Linked DNA regions of Danio rerio. The protein of the gene in region 1 binds, or shares a complex with, the protein of each later gene. Links are inferred from orthologs where the notes say so. Each region holds a gene or a part of one and is shown on either strand. Other genes may lie near its edges.

What was found. Proteins that work in one complex are often made in the same cells at the same time.
Region 2: the proteins of med16 (region 1) and med25 are in contact, whole or in part, in a cryo-EM structure (PDB 7EMF), measured with the Homo sapiens proteins. The link is inferred for Danio rerio from reciprocal best matches to the Homo sapiens genes MED16 and MED25. Residues at the interface, in NP_005472.2 of Homo sapiens: Cys41, Arg42, Ser92, Ser94, His113, Arg161, Lys163, Phe171, Gly172, Gly173, Lys174, Pro195, Gly485, Tyr486, Ala516, Ala517, Gln520, Val521, Thr524, Arg525, Ile554, Ala555, Ser558, Lys561, Ser562, Leu563, Leu564, Arg565, Pro566, His567; in NP_112235.2 of Homo sapiens: Ala26, Asn27, Gly29, Pro30, Tyr31, Val74, Asp75, Cys76, Ala77, Pro78, Glu79, Val82, Cys84, His85, Pro87, Lys102, Phe103, Met104, Gly105, Gly106, Gly107, Gly108, Glu109, Thr120, Gln123, Leu124, Asp127, Phe128, Tyr151, Leu152.
Region 3: med16 (region 1) and med18 share a complex: the UniProt entries of both Homo sapiens proteins name them as parts of the mediator complex. The link is inferred for Danio rerio from reciprocal best matches to the Homo sapiens genes MED16 and MED18.

What each region holds. Positions count from the first base shown.
Region 1 is NC_133186.1:14,599,482-14,606,150, forward strand, and holds the start of med16 (mediator of RNA polymerase II transcription subunit 16), read left to right. Parts: upstream 1-2,211; 5' UTR 2,212-2,493; coding exon 2,494-2,635; coding exon of another isoform or gene 2,636-2,677; intron 2,678-2,814; coding exon 2,815-2,922; intron 2,923-5,899; coding exon 5,900-6,069; intron 6,070-6,669. UniProt on the Homo sapiens protein: Component of the Mediator complex, a coactivator involved in the regulated transcription of nearly all RNA polymerase II-dependent genes.
Region 2 is NC_133178.1:29,271,498-29,277,841, forward strand, and holds the start of med25 (mediator of RNA polymerase II transcription subunit 25), read right to left. Parts: upstream 4,013-6,344; 5' UTR 3,834-4,012; intron 3,438-3,833; 5' UTR 3,377-3,437; coding exon 3,252-3,376; intron 3,177-3,251; coding exon 3,131-3,176; intron 3,052-3,130; coding exon 2,927-3,051; intron 2,793-2,926; coding exon 2,694-2,792; intron 400-2,693; coding exon 279-399; intron 1-278. UniProt on the Homo sapiens protein: Component of the Mediator complex, a coactivator involved in the regulated transcription of nearly all RNA polymerase II-dependent genes.
Region 3 is NC_133191.1:7,707,615-7,713,830, reverse strand, and holds med18 (mediator of RNA polymerase II transcription subunit 18), read left to right. Parts: upstream 1-2,204; 5' UTR 2,205-2,470; coding exon 2,471-2,543; intron 2,544-4,315; coding exon 4,316-4,869; 3' UTR 4,870-5,016; downstream 5,017-6,216. UniProt on the Homo sapiens protein: Component of the Mediator complex, a coactivator involved in the regulated transcription of nearly all RNA polymerase II-dependent genes.

The DNA.
Region 1 (6,669 bases):
ATAGAGTGGAAAGGCTATTTAGTACAGCATCTATGGTACAAGTCACGCAGTAGAAGTAAGTAAAGATAAACATGCATAGCGCTTGATTGCGGTGGGGATGACCTCAAAATACGAAATAAGCATATTTTTCATGAGGATTGTTTAGATTTCTGCTATTTTATTAGAGACAATATTATTTGTAGTTCAACTTTGTTTGCAAATGTTTTAATTGAATTTTTACTATACATAATTTACAAATATATTTGCTCAATGTATTCATTCTGTTTGGAAAGTTTAGTACAAATAATTTCAAATACAAGCCATTATTTTATTCATTTTCTCTGCGGTCACCACAGCGGAATGAACCGCCAACTTATCCAGCATATGTTCTACACAGAGAATATCTTTCCAGCTGCAACCAACCCATCCAGTACTGGGGAACATCCATACAGTCTCATTCACACATACATTCAATTCACCTATACCTACCACTTCTTTGAAACCGGAAACCGGAGCACCTGAAGGAAACCCGGGGATAACATGCAAACTCCACACACAAATGCCAACTGAACCAACAGGGACTCGAACCAGTGAACTTCTTGCTGTGAGATCTCAGTGCTGCTAACCACTGAGCCACCATGTCGCCTCAAGTCATTATTTGTGATTTTGAATCAGAATTTAAGCTTTACTTTCCCAGGGATGGGTTGCGGCTGGAAGGGCATCCGCTGCGTAAAACATATGCTGAATGAGTTGGCGGTTCATTCCGCTGTGGCAAACACCATATTAATAAAGGGACTAAGCTGAAAAGAAAATGAATGAATGAGTTGCTTTACTGAAAAATGATAAGCTGTTAGCTGTAAATATTGCCATGTTTTCATTTGATGTGCGTATTATGGAAATAATAATAAGCAAAACAATCTAAATTTGAATTGTGTTAATTTGAATTAGACAATTGTAATTTAATAAATCTGAATTTTTATATGCCGTTAAAAATTGTTTTGAATTTCTTAGTTTGAATTTTCTAACTTGAATATTGAAATGTAAGACAACTGAATTTTTCAAGGCGGAATTTTTTATAGACATATTCTCAAACGTTTGATTTTTTGTGTTAAAATATTACAGTAGGCTATTTTTTGACTGAAATGCATTGAAATCAAAATGTCCAATGGGTGGCGCTAAATCTCTCTTTGTCACTGAATTGTTCATTCACATTCGTTATTTAGACCATATATATATATATATATATATATATATATATATATATATATATATATATATATATATATATATATATATATAGATATATATATATATATATATATATATATATATATATATATATATATATATATATATATATATATATATATATATATATATATATTTCCAGCCCTGAATTTCACAATCTGAATTTCTGGTTTTGAATTTTATGATATTGATTTGGATGTTCTAAATTTCTTCATCTTGAAAATTTGAAACTGTATTTTCACAAACTTAATATCTACAGTCTATGAACTCAGAACACAAACAAATCAGGCTTGAAAAGTTCTTGCATTTCAGATGTTCAATACTCAAGTTATGAAATTCAAATTCAAATGAAGAAAATCAAATTTAAAAGATTTTTAATGTCATAAAAAAATCTGATTTTTAAAATTAAAATTGTTAATAATTCAAATGAATACAATTCAAATTGTGATTGTTTTGGCACATTATTAGCTCTGTACGTCAAACCCTTTCTGAGACACACACACACACACACACACGCACGCACGCACGCACGCACGCACGCACACACACACACACACACATACACACACACACACACACAGAGAGAGAGACTTAAAAGGTTAACTTAAACATATAAATTAAATTATAAAAATGTATAAACAAAAATAAAACGTTTATATAAAAAAAGAGAAAAATAATATATAAATAGCGTACATACATACATACATACATACATACATAGATACATACATACATACATACATACATACATACATACATACATACATACATACATACATACATACATACATACATACATAAAAGCATAGGAACAAAAAAGCCTTTTGTTAATAAATAATGCATAACCATGCATGAGTAAACATTTTTGTTAACGCTTTTATGCTTCAAAAGTAACGTAGATAGACAAATACAGAAATAGATCGGAGCTCCAGCCCAATAGGGGGTGGTAAGTATTAGATGAGTCTTTGAATCCGGAAAGAGTCGACGAATACAGGCGCTCAATGATGTGATGTGCAGCTTCAAAGTGCTATTTGCTGAATTAGAATAGATTTGAAACGCCAGAACAATTTATATTATTAACAAATTAATTTATGTTCGGACTTATTAGCAGGAGCATGTAGTTTTGAGTCTGCCATACCCATCATTTTCTTCTGTTTCTGTACAGTAGCGGTGTTTGCTTTTGTTGTCTCCCGTAGTGATTGTGAACACATTCAAAGGTGTTCATTTGGGGCATCTGTGCTGTAAACAGTAAGTTTCCTTCATTATATGATGGATATCGCATATGTTTGCGAGTGGGAGAAGAGACCCAAGAGCAACCACTGTCCTTCAATCCCTCTGGTGTGCGCCTGGTCATGTAGAAACCTCATCGCTTTCACCACTGACCTGAAGAATGAGGAGGATGACAAAGGTCTGGACAATGCCTTTATTACCAATATTACCACTCCTGTTGGTGAGTTATGAATGGAGGACAAGAAACAACATACATTTTCAATTCGTTTTGGATCCAAAATACATAGAACAATGGTGTTTATTTATGATCAAGCATTATATCAGCAACAACAATCATGTTTTTTTTTTCTGTTGCAGATCTCAGTCATATGATACACATCATTGACACTGATCACCCCTGGGATGTGTACTCCATCAATTCTGGTCACAATGAGATAATTTCCTGCCTAGAATGGGATCAGTCTGGTCAGTCATCATGATGATAAAGATGAAATGGGCTAAACATTTGGCAATATGTGCAGATCATATTTGACAAGTTTTTTTTAGAAGTAAAGTTTCCATTTATTTTAGGTGGGTAGTCTCAGTATTGTAAGGGTAAGCCTAATTTTACTCGATTAATGTACTGCGATGGTCTTAAATCAGTACAGATTAGATACAGAATAATAAAATCTAATATAATATTTATTTTTATTATAGATTTTTTGTAATAATATAATTATTTTATAATTGACATTTGAATCATTTTAGAGTGTTAAAAACATTTGAAGAGAGACGCGTTTCAATGTAAAACCTAAATACTTTTCCAAATCAGGGTTTTTACCATTATCAAATACTAAAACTATTTAAAAAATCTGATAATAAAGAAAAAACTTGTATTAAATGAAAATTACAAATGTTGCTTTAGCAAGTAACAGAACAGAAAAAATATATATAATTTATTAAAATAAAAGTAAATCAAAAAGGCAAATAAAAAAATTATACTTTATATTATAACAAATGAAAACAGTAGTGCAAATAATACAATTGCTAAATTTAATATGAAGCAAAAAAGCCAAATCAAAGTATGAAGAAAAATAATAATAAAAAAGGTATATTCATTTTTATTTAATATTCATAAAACATTTATTAATTAAGTTGTTTATAAAATCAGTTTTAGGGATACTCCTAATAACTGATTAACCCGTTAACTTAAAGCAGGGGTGCCCAAACTCAGTTCTGGAGAGCCGGTGTCCTGCAGATTTTAGTAGGGATGGCTGACGTGAAACTGACGTTTCGACACAGTTTCGAGATCCCGAAGCACAAGTGTTTCGAAACACTGCACCGAAGCATGATCCGAAACACCCAATTCACGTGACTAAAGTGTTTCAAAACACCTGGACACGTGACTAAAATGATTCAAAGCAACAATCAGTTAAGAAGTGTTTCGAGACCTTGCGAATCTGGATGTAACTGCCGGCGTCAGTTTCAAAATCTGTCTCATATGGCCTGGTGGACTGTGCCTGTACACGCTGTTTTTATACTTCCAATGACTTTTGGGTTTGAATCCCGACTTGTACAAATACACCTAAATCATGGTTTTATGTATTTTAATCATGTTTCTGTTTTATGGTGTAGCCTAAATAGATTAAAGCTGAGGATACGCCATCAATATAGCATCATTTTTGTAACACTAAAACAATAATAAATATTTTTACAGTACTGTGATGGTTGGGTTTAGGGTTTGGATAGACGTTAATGAAATACAATAAATGGGAAATTTAATAAATAATATAAATAATTCTTGATACCTTCTGGCCACAACTGTGTCTGATCTAGCAACAACTCTGTTTTAATACCAAAACAAGACATATTTATTTACAAAGTGTTTATTCGGATGTCAGACCAATGTTGAAACAAAACGAAACAAGAACAAAGCATTACCAACTGGTATTAAAGCATTTCAAAAAAGCCGTATCAGCCTGGATTCAAACTCAATATCCCCACATGGAAGTCAGAAACCTTAACCGCTCCACTAAATCTCTTGAATAGATACTTTTACAAAGTGGGGTGTAATACCTCAATTTGCTAAAATGTTCTTGCTGAAGCTGTTTCAGTGCAATACATAAAAATGACCACTAGGTGGTCACCGTAGAGTGGGGTTTCAAAACATTTCGAAGCTTCGACACATTTGCTTCGACTGTTTGTTTCAGTGTTTCATGAAGCCTCGCTTTGCCCACCACTAGATTTTAGCTCCAACTTGCCTCAACACACCTGCATAGATGTTTATAGAAAGCCTTTAAAAAGCTTGATTAGATAGCCCAGGTGTGTCTGATTGGGTTGGAACTAAACTTTGCAGGACACCGGCCCTCCAGGATAGAGTTTGGGCATCCCTGTCTTAAAAGGTGCATTTTAATCTATTATTGGTATCAGTTAAATGATTAAAAATGTATTGTTTTTATTTTATTTAAGTTTGGCTGCATAAATGTGCAACACATATTTGCTTATTCGTGAGACAGTAACATGTGCAACTACATGTGCCCACAGACATATTTTGCCAAAAAAGCAAAATGAAAGAAGGATGATGCTGGTCACAGTTTGACACAGACAAGTCGATGCCAAAGCAGCACTGATGCTGATTGCTAAAAAATGTAGCGGAGCATTAATTAAATGCGGTTGTTATTATGTTTGCATGTTAAAATAAATCAGTATTTTAAAATGCAATATTAAATGTGTCGGACACAAAATAGACACGTCAATTGCTTTGTTTTAAATTAAATAGTAGTTTAATATTAATCTGACCAGTTAGCAGTTAATATTCAGTTAATGAGTGGCAGATTTCGATTGGCAAAATTAACCGAAATGAGCATCCCTAATCAATGTATTTGTTCAAATAAGTCAATAATGTTTGCCTCTTGTTAGGGTTGGGCCGATAGTCGATGCCATCGTCCATCTTCGATGGCCAATAGACAACACAATGCTGAGCTTGCATCGCTGATCCTCCGCCCCATCACAAACCCTCACGCAAAAAATACACACTCAGGCCCCGTTTGCACAAAGACGTCTTAGTGTAAAGATGGCATTTTAGAACGAAATGATCCACATCTCCATCGTGTTTTACCTAGCATTTCTGAACAGCCCTCCGTCCGCTGAAAACGCACATCACGTGACCACACACAAACACACACATACAGACAGAAACAGACAGACATTCACAGACGCAAGTGGTGCTCACTTCAGAGCCACACACTGTCATGCGCTCCTCTGAGTTCCAGAGACAGAGAGTCGTGCATGTTTGACAGTTTATCAAGGGTGTACCACTGGATTGCGTCTCATTATAGTTGTTAAACTTGATATTCAGACATACCGTCATATGCCATCGTCCATCGCGATGGTTTACATTAGACATTGTATGATGCCAAATTGGTCGACATTGCTCAACCCTACCTCTTGTGTGGTTTGCTAGGTTCGAGGTTGTTGTCTGCTGATGGTGATGGTCAGATCAAGTGTTGGGGCATGACAGAGCACCTGGTGAACAGCTGGGAGTGCGCACAGAGCAGCTCAGTGGACGGAGACCCTATTGTAGCACTTTCATGGTTACACAATGGAGTCAAACTCGCCCTGCATGTTGAAAAGGTACAGTATGTGAATTCCCTTACCTGCCACTGTTACTTTTGGCTTGCTTGGTTAGGGCCGGCGAAGCTGATCTTCAGTCTATTGTCCTGCAACTACAGTTTGACATTCTTATTGAACTGGGCTGCATTTCCCAAAAGCTTAGTTAGCCTACAGTATGTAGATTCTAAAAATAATTGTACGATTGATCTTAATGTTATGGTCTGTGTCCCAAAAGCATCGTAACTTAATAGATCTGGAAAGTCATCAATGATCTATGAGTGCATTAAAATAATTGTTAAAGCTTTATGGCAATTTCAGACTGTATGATTTTCAAAATCTTCTGGTTGCCATTGTTTTCAAACTAGTGATGAGAAGTTTGGATCTTTTCCGGGAACTGGATCTTGATGAAGATGAAAAGCTGTGTGCTTGAAACGTTACACACTTTATGTCAGCCTTTTTTAATTTAATAAATTTTCTTGTTTTTGCGCTTTGGTGTTGCCACCTTTTTGAATATATATGTTGCACTTTTTACTTTTTTGGCTGAGCACCAGATCAAATGTGCTTTTTTACATTTTTCAATAAACATTCTGGATACAACTCCATATAAGCTTGGCATTGCAA
Region 2 (6,344 bases), on another chromosome or scaffold:
ACAAAAACTCCTTTTAGTATGGAAAATATTCTTTCTATCACGTGCGGCTGCTTTGATTAAGCTCGATCGTCAGACTCTCTCACGTTTGTTTTAATCCAGGAATGTAATACTTAGTTCAACCACTAGGTGTCAAACTTACATACCGCACCTTATTATATCATGCATTATACTGACTATGCATGGTTTGATTACAAGCAAATGCTAAATATTATATTATTTTAAAATCATACTGACATACAGACATAACAGATAAACCAAGAAGCTAAGTGTAAACTCACATCCCGGATGATCTGGACCAGACTGTCTGCGGTGCAGCCCGTATAGCTGACACTCTCCACAGCTGGCAGCAAGTATGGAGGAGAATTACAGAGCAGTACACACACCTTGTGGGTCTGACCACTACATAGAGAAACAAAAGAATCAAAGAATCACCAGTGATAATAGGAAAATTGTCTCCAGTAGGTCATTTCAGCATCAATATTGAGATTACAGTTGACCACATTACAGTTCAGTACAGAATATACAGCTCAGAGCATTGTGGAGTCATTGCAAAGTTTAACCTTAGAATGAAAGTTTTCACTCAGTGAAATTAATTCATTAAGGAACAAGAAATTATAACTTTTGTTGCCAAAATATTACTTAATATAACATTTACACATTTAAAACTATACATTTTAGTTGTTTAACAATAACAGTTGATTATTCAATTCATGTACCCGGCTCTTTTAGACTCTCTAGAAAACCATAAAGCACTGTTTTTCCCTTTGTATACTTTGCTCTGAGGTTTTTAGCTATGCTTATATTTTTATATAATATTTTAAAGATAGATACGCTCGCTTACAATGAGAATCTCTTTAAAAAAAAGAGCTATTTAAGTATCAGTTGTACTTATAAATCAATGAATAATCACAGAAAAACACATTATCGCAATTTCAGTTTTTCCCATTATCATACAGCCCTAATGTGAACATCACTTTTTTTGATATCAATTTTAGTTTGATATATTATACAGCCCTAGTCTTCAGCATTTTACTGATAATGTAGTGCACATGATGATGGCATCCCTTAAAAATGCAGTGTCATTAGTTTTGTTGTACTGGAAAGAACTCTGCACAAATTAATGTAGACTGATAAACTATTATATTTTTAACTATATGATATTCACGACTATGTAAGTCTTATGATCCCTTCTTTGCTAATAAAGGACTATAGGGACATTCTAAGCACAGAATGAGTCATCTGGGTGAGGTAGAGTTCCTTCACATCTCACATCTCCAATACTTTGCTTTCCACCAAACACAATTTATCTACTTGTGATCTCCTTTTATGTCATTCTGTCACATTAAGTGTCATTTGATGTTTTCTAATGAATGATTAATCTACTAATGTTTAGTTATGACCCGAGGATAATATTGCATACTTTATAATGCATATTTACATCTCCCCCTCTTTATCTCCTCACATTTCAGCTGGTTTTGGGGAATGGTATTTCACTCATGCCTAGAAATGTATCTGTTGTTCTCTGTCTTTGCTGCATAGCAGAGCAAAAATCAAAACTAAGCTTTTTTGTATACATTATGTTTAGGGTAGCATATCATATTGTTTGAGCATCAATATCACAGTGTGTGTGTCCGCAACAGTCAAATTGCAGGATTAAATTATTTATTAAAGAGTTAAAGATAAATTATTAAATATTATTTTTTAATAATTATTGAAATGATGACCATGTTATTTTATGCTTGATTGTTCAATTTCTGTACCTGAAATACTGTTAAACTTTCCAGAAAATTACAAAGTATGGTTTATTTAACTTTTTTTCTGGCTCTATTGTGTGTGTGTGTGTGTGTGTGTGTGTGTGTGTGTGTGTGTGTGTGTGTGTGTGTGTGTGTGTGTGTGTATATATATATATATATATATACACACACACACACAAAGAGTTTAGAAACAAAAACCTCTAAATACTGTCTGAAATTGTCCTCTAAAATGTGCATTTTTAATCAGGCTCCTGTGTGTATGTTCAGTAATACCAATTTTATGGCAAAGAACAAGACCTTTTCTTGGTCTTTAAAGTGAAATATCTCAACATAAACAAAGAAAGCTGAAAAAAAAAATTCAAACTTTTGATAAACATTTCAGACGGCACTCAGAGGTTTTTCCATCTGAATATATATAAAATAATTTATGTATATGCAGTGCATAGAAAAAGACCTGATCATCATATTATCTAAATGAATAAAATCTTTCTAAATAGAGCTATTCAATTCACCTGGTGAAATTGTACTCTTATCGCTATATATATTACAGAAAACAAAAAATATTGCAATGTCTCATATTTTCAATATTGTGCAGCCCTAATAATGTTGATATATTTCATTCTACTGTCTGTATATTAAAACATGTAACTTAACATGAAATGTTCTTTCTTTTACAGCTTTAAGATTATCTCTCTTTATCAGTGATGTTAATAACTTTAACAGTGTTTGATTAATTATGGTGGAGTCAGACAAATAATTGATTATTACACACCATCCTTCAACTGCTTTCTGTTCTGATAATCTTTATAAATAGTGCTGTGTTCAAAGATTTTTCTTGTATTTACATTTCAAAAAAAGTCATTTTAAAATACCTTAAGCAAGCTGATTAAACCCTCAAAAGCAGATTTGTGATTTCATAGAACAAGTTCAAGAACTCACATTTGCTCCCTCATCTTTTTGAAGTCGTCAAAGAGCTGCAGGGCCACAGAAAGACCCTCAGCTATAAGACTGCAGCTCTCTGCTCCACCTCCCATGAACCTGTGCAACAACAAAAAAAAACTGTTAAAACTGTTCTCAGTATTTCAATCACAATATCTTTAAAGCAGACATTCACTTAAAACCTTTATCCCAGACTTCCTGACATAAAATAGGATTACAATGGGATTCCTTACTGAATGCTGTCAATCCAAGACACAAACTCGAAGGCAGAGCTGGTTGGAGCATGGCACTGGACATATGACTCTGGAGCACAATCCACTGTGTTGAATACCACCAGTCCATACTGAGTGCCACCATACTTATAAAACAAACAAGATCATCAGAATTGAGATGGCAGAAATGTAAAGAGAAGGTATAAACAGACTCCTCCAACTCACATCTCCTCCAAAATCAGTTTCAGCCGGTGGTCCTCCATTAAAATACCTGTAAATATATTAAATAAGTCAGTTCAAGTGTCTAACAAATGTACTGTATTGTAATGAATGTCATAAATCTTACTCTATAGTAGGCAGTATGTAATTATTCCGAAGTGATTCAAAATATGGACCAAGGTTTGCAGTTCCTTCAATGACAAACACCACATCTGACACCTGATTCAACCCAGATTTGGACGTGGGGTCCATATGGGTCACCTTTGGTCTACAGCCAACACAGATATAAGATCAAACTCATATAGAAGATTTGCTGGAATAAAACGAAATATTAATGTTTTATAATGTTTTATTGATGAATGACTTTATATTGGTGTTATTTGCTATTATTTTAACATTATTTCCATTCTAAATGCAAGTAAACCAAACCAAGACATACATATTTGGCTGTCTTAATACCTAACGTTAGTAATACACATAAACAATTTTTTTTAACTGAATCATTCATTATGTCCGTGCCAAAAAGCCTAAGAGACTTATTTTAGATGTGATATATTTGTCTTATCATTACCTAATTAACGAGTAAATTCTTAAAAACACAATATCAATACAAATAAATTAAAATGTAAAACGTGAACACTATCCATTCATACAGGTCTTAGCATGCTAGCCGCTAACCTCAAATGCTAATTTAGCTCGGGTGTCTTACCTGCTAGAATTAGTAGAACTGGCTTTTACTGTGAATAAAACAAACCGGTTCAGTCATTTATCTTGATTATATCCGAACCAGCCCCTGGTAGTTTTATTGTGTATTAAAGCTTCATCTGAAAGTAAATGTAGAGCGTAATGACAACAAACATCGGGATTTTTGGCTCGGCAATCGACAGTACGGTCTGGTTTTAGATCTTGAAAGTGGACTGGGCTGGTGAATCGATTTATGAATGATCAATTTAGAAACCAACAGCAGCGACGTCCTTTTCAGTCGTCATTCTTTGTTATTATCATCCTTATTATAATCATTGTTATTTTTGCGGTTTAAACACGGACATAGCCATTGTATTGTTAGATAATAAAAAAATAAAATAAAATAAAGCTTAAGAAAGTAAGTGGCTTCGTCGATGATCATAACAAATTGCATCATCTTTATTATTATCAATGATTATCATTACAAATTATTGTTATTAATTATTATTATTATTATTTAAAAGTTTTCTGAAACAAAATGGGCATTTTAAGGAATATATTTAAAATTGCCTTAAATAAATTAATTATTTAAATGTTTTCAATGATGGTAAATAATTATAATCAATATTATTTTAAGGCATAATAATAAATACAATTATTATTAATTATTATTACCAATTATTATTATTGGTGATATATCATTGATATTATTCTTATCATTATTATCTATTATTATTATTATTGTAATTATCTAAAGGCTTATCTAAAATGACCATAATTATTTTAAGAAATAATAACAAGACTTTTTTATTGTTACCAATTTTCTTTATTATTGTTGTTGGTATTAATATTAACTATTATCATTAATTAGAATTACCATTTTTATTATTATTATTATCATGTATTCTTTTTCTTTTTCTTCTTCTTATTATTATTATCATGTTATCTTCTTCTTATTATTATTATTATTATTATTATTATTATATAAAAGTTTTTTAAGCAAAATGGGCATGATTCAGTTTAAAGAATCGGCCTATAATCAAAATCATATTAAATAAATTCATTATTTAAACGTTTTCAATAATAGTAAATAATTATAATTATTATTATTATTTTAAGGCATAAAAATAATAACAACAATTATTATTACCAATTATTATTATTGTTGGTATATCATTAATATTATTCTTATCATGATTAGTTATTATTATTTTTCATTCATTTATTTTCTTGTCGGCTTAGTCCCATTATTAATCTGGGGTCGCCACAGCGGAATGAACCGCCAACTTATCCAGCAAGTTTTTATGCAGCAGATGCCCTTCCAGCCACAACCCATCTCTGGAAAGATCCACACACACACACATTCACACACACACACACTACGGACAATTTAGCCTACCCAATTCACCTGTACCGCATGTCTTTGGACTGTGGGGGAAACCGGAGCACCCGGAAGAAACCCACGCGAACGCAGGGAGAACATGCAAACTCCACACAGAAACGCCAACTGAGCCGAGGGTTAAACCAGCGACCTTCTTGCTGTGAGGCAACAGCACTACCTACTGCGCCACTGCTTCGCCGCTATTATTTTTATAATTATCTAAAAGCTTTATGAAATAAAATGAGCATGATTCGGTTGAAAGAATATATTCAAAATAGTATTAAACAAATTCATCATTTAAACTTATTCAGTAATAATAATTATTATAATCATTGTTATGGGTGAGGCAGTGGCGCAGTAGGCAGTGTCGCCTCACAGCAAGAAGGTCGCTGGGTTGCTGGTTTGAACCTCGGCTCAGTTGGCGTTTCTGTGTGGAGTTTGCATGTTCTCCCTGCCTTCGAGTGGGTTTCCTCCAGGTGCTCCGGTTTCCCCCACAGTCCAAAGACATGTAGTACAGGTGAATTGGATAGGCTAAATTGTCCATAGTGTATGAGTGTGTGTGTGTGTGTGTGTGTGTGTGTGTGTGTGTGTGTGAATAAGTGTGTGAATGTTTCCCAGAGATGGGTTGTGGCTGGAAGGGCATCCGCTGTGTAAAAACTTGCTGGATAAGTTGGCGGTTCATTCCGCTGTGGCGACCCCGGAGTAATAAAGGGACTAAGCCGACAAGAAAATGAATGAATAAAATGAATGAATAATCATTGTTATTTTAAGAAAAAAACTTTTTTATTATTACCAATTATTGTTGTTATTGTTAGGAAGGATTGTTGTTATTTTTATTATTCATTAGGAAGGAATACATTATATTATTTAAACGTAATCATTAATATCAAATAATTCTAATCATTATTATTTTATGGAATAATAAAAACCCTTTTTTATTTATTATTACCAATTATTTTTTATTTATTACCATGTATTGTTTTTATAATTATATAAGGGTTTTCTGGAGCAAAATGGGCATGATTCAGTTTAAGGAATTCATAATCAAAATAATATTAAATAAACACATTATTTAAACGTATTTAGTAAATAATCATTTATTTTTAAGGCATACTACTAATGGCAAATGTTTTGTTATTATAAAAGATTTTTTAC
Region 3 (6,216 bases), on another chromosome or scaffold:
TTTGTTATACATCCTTTAATAACTAACTAATTTTAATAACTTTGATACCTTTCTATTGCTGATTATTCATTTTTGCTCTTATACTTGTGTAAATTGCTTCCTTGTCCTCATTTGTAAGTCGCTTTGAATAAAAGCGTCTGCTAAATGACTAAATGTAAAATGTAAATGATTGAACACAAAAATATTTCAGAAAATTTGATTTCTGGCTGACAAACATTTTGAGACATTTATCAAAAATTTGTTTAACTTATTATCTTAACCTTTATTTTAAATTAACAATAAACACAGCATGTCAACTTAAGCAATCAATGTTTTCCTGACAGTACCTTGTTTTTGTTTTGCCTTAAACAAATTACACTAAAGTCAAATACACGATTTTACCAAAAAAAAAACGTTGTGTTAATAATATTCTATAATTTATAAACTTTCTGAAGAGCAATCTATTGTGATACAAATAATAATAATAATAATAATAATAAAATTATAATAATTATAAAAATAAATTAGCCACAAACAAAATACATTTTATAAGCTGTATGTAAGCTTTAAATGTCACAGAACAAACATTTTCAAAATGGCTGCAGCATTTACACTTAAAAGAGGAAATTTAAATATAAAAACACTAACGTTGGCTCTGCTAACTTGGGCTAACTTACTGTTAGCATTTAACACTGTTTATGACAAACAGCACAGGAACGAACAACTTTAAAACGACACATCTTTAAAAGACCAACTTATCTAATGTGTTTGAGGCATTTATTCGCCTATCTGAAGGTGTCAGACTGATAATGTGTGTAAATAAATAAGGACTGACAGAAAAACACAGCACTCGGAGACACACCTTTGGAGCTGGTAACAACACCATAACTGTCTCGATTACAAACACTACTGCATCCAAACGTAAGTAAAAGACACATAATAGTAAATTACATTCATTAGATGTCGACAGGAAGCATTACAGTTGAGCTCATCTTCAACAGCCAGCGATGTCATGCAGCCCTAAGATGGCACGAAACTTCAAAATAAAGGTCTCCACATGTCGATTTATTTTCAAAATAAACGTCACAGTGCATTTAATGTTTTCCACAATAAAAGTTACTCGACTGCTTTGCGTTCATGGTTCATACCATTGGTTCATACGTACGTACTGCATGTAAATGGTAAATATGCATGTTTAAGCTATTTGGAAATAATATGATATGAAATAATAACAATTATTAAAACAATATAATTTTTGGAAAATATGCTTAACGTGAGCTTATAAAACTAGGTATTTATGAGAAATGCACATAACTAAGAAAATGCTAGAAAAAATAAATAATAAAATAACAATATAATAATAATAAATGATGATGATGATGATGATAATAATAACAATATTAATAAAAAAAGTCCTGCCAGTGCACTGAAACGTATAATATACTTAAAGTAACTTCCCTCATTGACTAAATTTTGACACAAAATATAACTTCATTCATTCATTCATTCATTCATTCGTTCATTTTCTTTTTGGCTTAGTCCCTACAGGGAGGGACATTCAACATGCAAAATCCAAACAAAAACGCCAACTGACCCAGACGAGGCTCGAACCAACAACCTTCTTGCTGTGAGGCGACAGCATTACCTACTGCGCCATATGGAAAAGTATACCATTTACTGTCTTTTTCTTTCTTGTATTTAATTAACCAATTAATTTTGAATGTATTGTTTAAAGTTTTAAAAAATGAACACCGATAACCCACCATTGCATTTTTGTTTACACATAATTTTCCATTTTAAAATAGTGATTTCCATTACTCCATAAAAAAAAATATATTGTATTTTAGGAATAGCCTAATTATTTCTTCATGTAGGACATGTTCCAGGATAGATGTCACTCCATGATTGCATTGGCAAAATCACACCCACCTCTTAGAGCCATTAGTTTTTCTGCAAGCAAACACCTTGACTTGAATTTGATCAACAGGGCAATCGGCTTTTCGCAACCATAATTGATGTTCTCCTGCTATTAATAATAGGCTAATAATACTCAATTTTAATACCCATTTTATATGATAAAGAGTTCACTTCAGTCCAGTAGGTGTCACTAAATGCACGCCTAAAAGAATAGAGCAAGCGTTGCACAATGCGCATGCGCAGTACTCGCTATCCATACTGCGCATGCGCTTTACTCACATGGACGCAGTTTCATCGAGACACATTATTTTTTCGTAGTATTTTACGCAAATCATTAGTTTTGTTTATTGCTTTTTGATACAAGTACAATATATGCTATTTTTAATTCATCGTCTGCCTGCTTTTTGTTGATAATATCTTCTAACACGTCTTAGCATGTCTATTGTTGTGGATGTTTTCTACAGCAGTTAAAGTTCTAGTTTAAGTTAATCTTTCAACTGATCGTTGACTGTAAATGTATTAAGAGACTTAAGTTCAGAATTATAATACTAGTAATAGTAATAATAATAGAGTGATGGAGGCTCCGCCGGTTACTGTGATGCCCGTCACGGGTGGAACTATAAACATGATGGAGTATCTTCTGCAAGGTAAACAACACCATCAGCACAACTCCTTTTACCATTCATTCATTCCTATTTATCATTTGTTACACTTTATTAAATAGTTTTAACTTAGTTTTTAAATACCCATTATGAGCAATCTCAATTTTTTAATTAGCAAAGTCATTTGAATAAAGCGTTGAATATGTTAAAGTGAATATGTAATTATAAACAATACACACACATTTTCTAGCGTTTTAAACTATTTTTATTTAACGCACCCTAATCTTCTTTAATTCCTTAAGACTTTTAATTTGGGATTCTGTATAATAAAAACATGTACTACAGTATTACTTTATGAATGTGCTAACGTTATATAAAACGAATAGTTTAGCATAATAATAGTATGTATACAATGTATTCATTGTAGTGTTTGTAGTATTATAATTTACAATTGTTATAATTTAAATTATACAATTATAGCATGCACTGTGCTACACGAGAGTTCTTTTTGCTGAGTCTTATTGTTTGCATAATATAGTTTGCTTATTTGGTCATATATTACCATTCCTACTTAAACCGTTACCAGATTTGTGTGTGTTCGGAGTAAATACATTTTTAACAAAATTATACAGCTAATTCATAAAGTATAATCAATAACACTTTCAAAATATGGTCTCATTAGTAAATCTTAGTTCATACATTAAAACAAAAAGCCACAGTGAGGGATATCGACATTTATTACAGTTAATAAGTTAATGTAAGTAAAAAAATACAACTGAAATGTATTATTTAATAACTAAATTTATTAAAACAATTACATCTTTTTTTTAGTGACTTATTAAGCATTAACTAAGAAATTGACACCACATTGCGAGAAATTGTGACATTACTTGAGACAAATTAGTCACAATTACAATTTTATTTTTATTGATGTATAGGAACAGGCTTAAATTATCTATCTATCTATCTATCTATCTATCTATCTATCTATCTATCTATCTATCTATCTATCTATCTATCTATCTATCTATCTATCTATCTATCTATCTATCTATCCATCCATCCATTCCCCTATCTATCCATTTATCTATCTATCTGTCCGTCCGTCCGTCCGTCTGTCTTTCTGTCTGTCTTTCTGTCTGTCTTTCTGTCTGTCTTTCTGTCTGTCTATCTATCTATCTATCTATCTATCTATCTATCTATCTATCTATCTATCTATCTATCTATCTATCTATCTATCTATCTATCTATCTATCTATCCATCCATCCATTCCCCTATCTGTCTGTCTGTCTGTCCGTCTGTCCGTCCGTCTGTCTATCTGTCTGTCTGTCTGTCCGTCCGTCCCTCCATCCGTCCCTCCCTCCATCCATCCATCCATCCATCCATCCATCCATCCATCCCCCATCCGTCCATCCATCCATCCATCCATCCATCCATCCATCTATCTATCCATCTATCTATCTATCTATCTATCTATCTATCTATCTATCTATCTATCTATCTATCTATCTATCTGTCCGTCCGTCCGTCCGTCCATCCATCTAATCTTCCATCCATCCATCCATCCATCCATCCATCCATCCATCCATCCATCCATCCATCCATCCATCCATCCATCCATCCATCCATCCATCCATCTATCTATCTATCTATCTATCTATCTATCTATCTATCTATCTATCTATCTATCTATCTATCTATCTATCTATCTATCTATCTATCTATTTATGCCCCTAATCTATGCATCCATCCATCCCACCCCCTATCTATCTATCCATCTTGACTTGGCTGTGTTCTGTTGGTTTGTTTGGCACAGGCAGTGTACTGGACCAATCTCTGGAGAGTCTCTTGCATCGCCTCCGGGGCCTGTGTGATAACATGGAGCCTGAGAGCTTTGCTGATCACGAGTTGGTGTATCTCCTGAAAGGTCAGCAGGGCAACCCGTTCATCCTGCGTGCCCGCCGCTCGCTCCTCGACCCCTCCGTCCCCTGGCACCTGCGCTATCTGGGTCAGCCCGAGGTGGGCGACAAAAGCCGTCATGCCCTGGTGCGGAACTGCGTGGACGTGGCAGCCTCGCACAGCTTGCCTGACTTCCTCAATGAGATGGGCTTCCGCATGGACCATGAGTTCGTGGCCAAGGGTCAGGTGTTCCGGAAGGGTGTGATGAAGGTGGTGGTGAGCAAACTGTCGCGTGTGCTGGTTCCTGGAAACACGGATAACACGGAGCCGCTCTCTCTGTCGTATCTTGTTGAGCTGAGCGTTCTGGCTCCTGCGGGACAGGACACTGTGTCTGAGGACATGAGGAGCTTCGCAGAACAGCTCAAACCTCTCGTTCACCTGGAGAAGATTGATCCCAAAAGACTCATGTAGAGAACATGACCTACAGACTGAGATTTTTAATTCGGTGAATAGGTGTTAAGACTGCATTTATTTGGAATATTTTTGATGATTGTTTTCTTTTTTTGTAATTGATGAAATGCTAATTAAAATCTTTAAATAAAAATATTCATTCATTCATTCATTTTCTTTTCGGCTTAGTCCCTTTATTAATCCGGGGTCGCCACAGCGGAATGAACCGCCAACTTATCCAGCAAGTTTTTTACGCAGCGGATGCCCTTCCAGCCGCAACCCATCTCTGGGAAAAAAATAAAAATATGTATTTCAAAAATGTTACTAGTTTTAAACGGTATTTGTCATGTTGTCTCTCTCGCCAAGGTAATGGAGATTTCTGAGACGTTTTATTTCAGTATAGACCTTTTTTTCTTAGAAAGCAAAGTTACCCATTATGCTTTGCATGTATGCTCAAGGAGAATGCTTAGAACTTCCGGTCGGCAGCTGATGCATATAAACAGTCAGTTGGACAGCTTTGAAATGATAGTTTTAATCTATTTTACCAGTTGTTGCTAGATCGGATACGTTTGCGGCCGGAAGTTAACAAGAATTAATTATATTATTTATTAAATTTCCCACTTATTGTATTTTATTAACGTCTACCCCCACCCCAACCCTAAACCCAACCATCCCAGTAATGTAAAAACAGTAGATGTACAGAGTATTATTTATGGTATCTATTAAATTACCCAATAAATTGTATTTTTTAACGCCTACCCCAACCCTAAACCTAACCGTGACAGTAAAAATATTAATAAAATAAAAATATTAATTATTGTTATACAGCGTCATAAAAAAATGCTGCTATATTAATGTGCATATCACACTTCCGGCCGGCCGCATATCTGATCTAGACTTTACCTATTTTCCCTGCTTTTATCATCTTGGAACTAATCCTGTTGTCGATCAGCGCCAACTTCGAGATTTTAAAAAATGCGATCTAATAGGATGGAAAACAACTACTGTGAGGCGTTTTCCCCTCGTTTTCAGAAGCCATCCTGTGCCATTGAAATGAAGCTTCGTCATCGCTAAAGTCAACATTTTCTCTTTCTTTCAAATATATAACCATCCCAAACAAATGTAATTCACCAAAATGTTTGACACACACACACACACGTAGCCTGTACTCTTCCACTAACACACTGATTTAATATCTGTGACAAAATGAAAATAAAGTGACATTTTGAAATGACACAAACTGGGTTAAATACAACACACTAAATAAAACATAAACAGCTCGCGATTAAAATCAACATGCAAATCAGCCAGCAGAGTATCAATAACAGACTTTTATTGCTCATTTTAGTAAACTGCTTGGCTTGCATA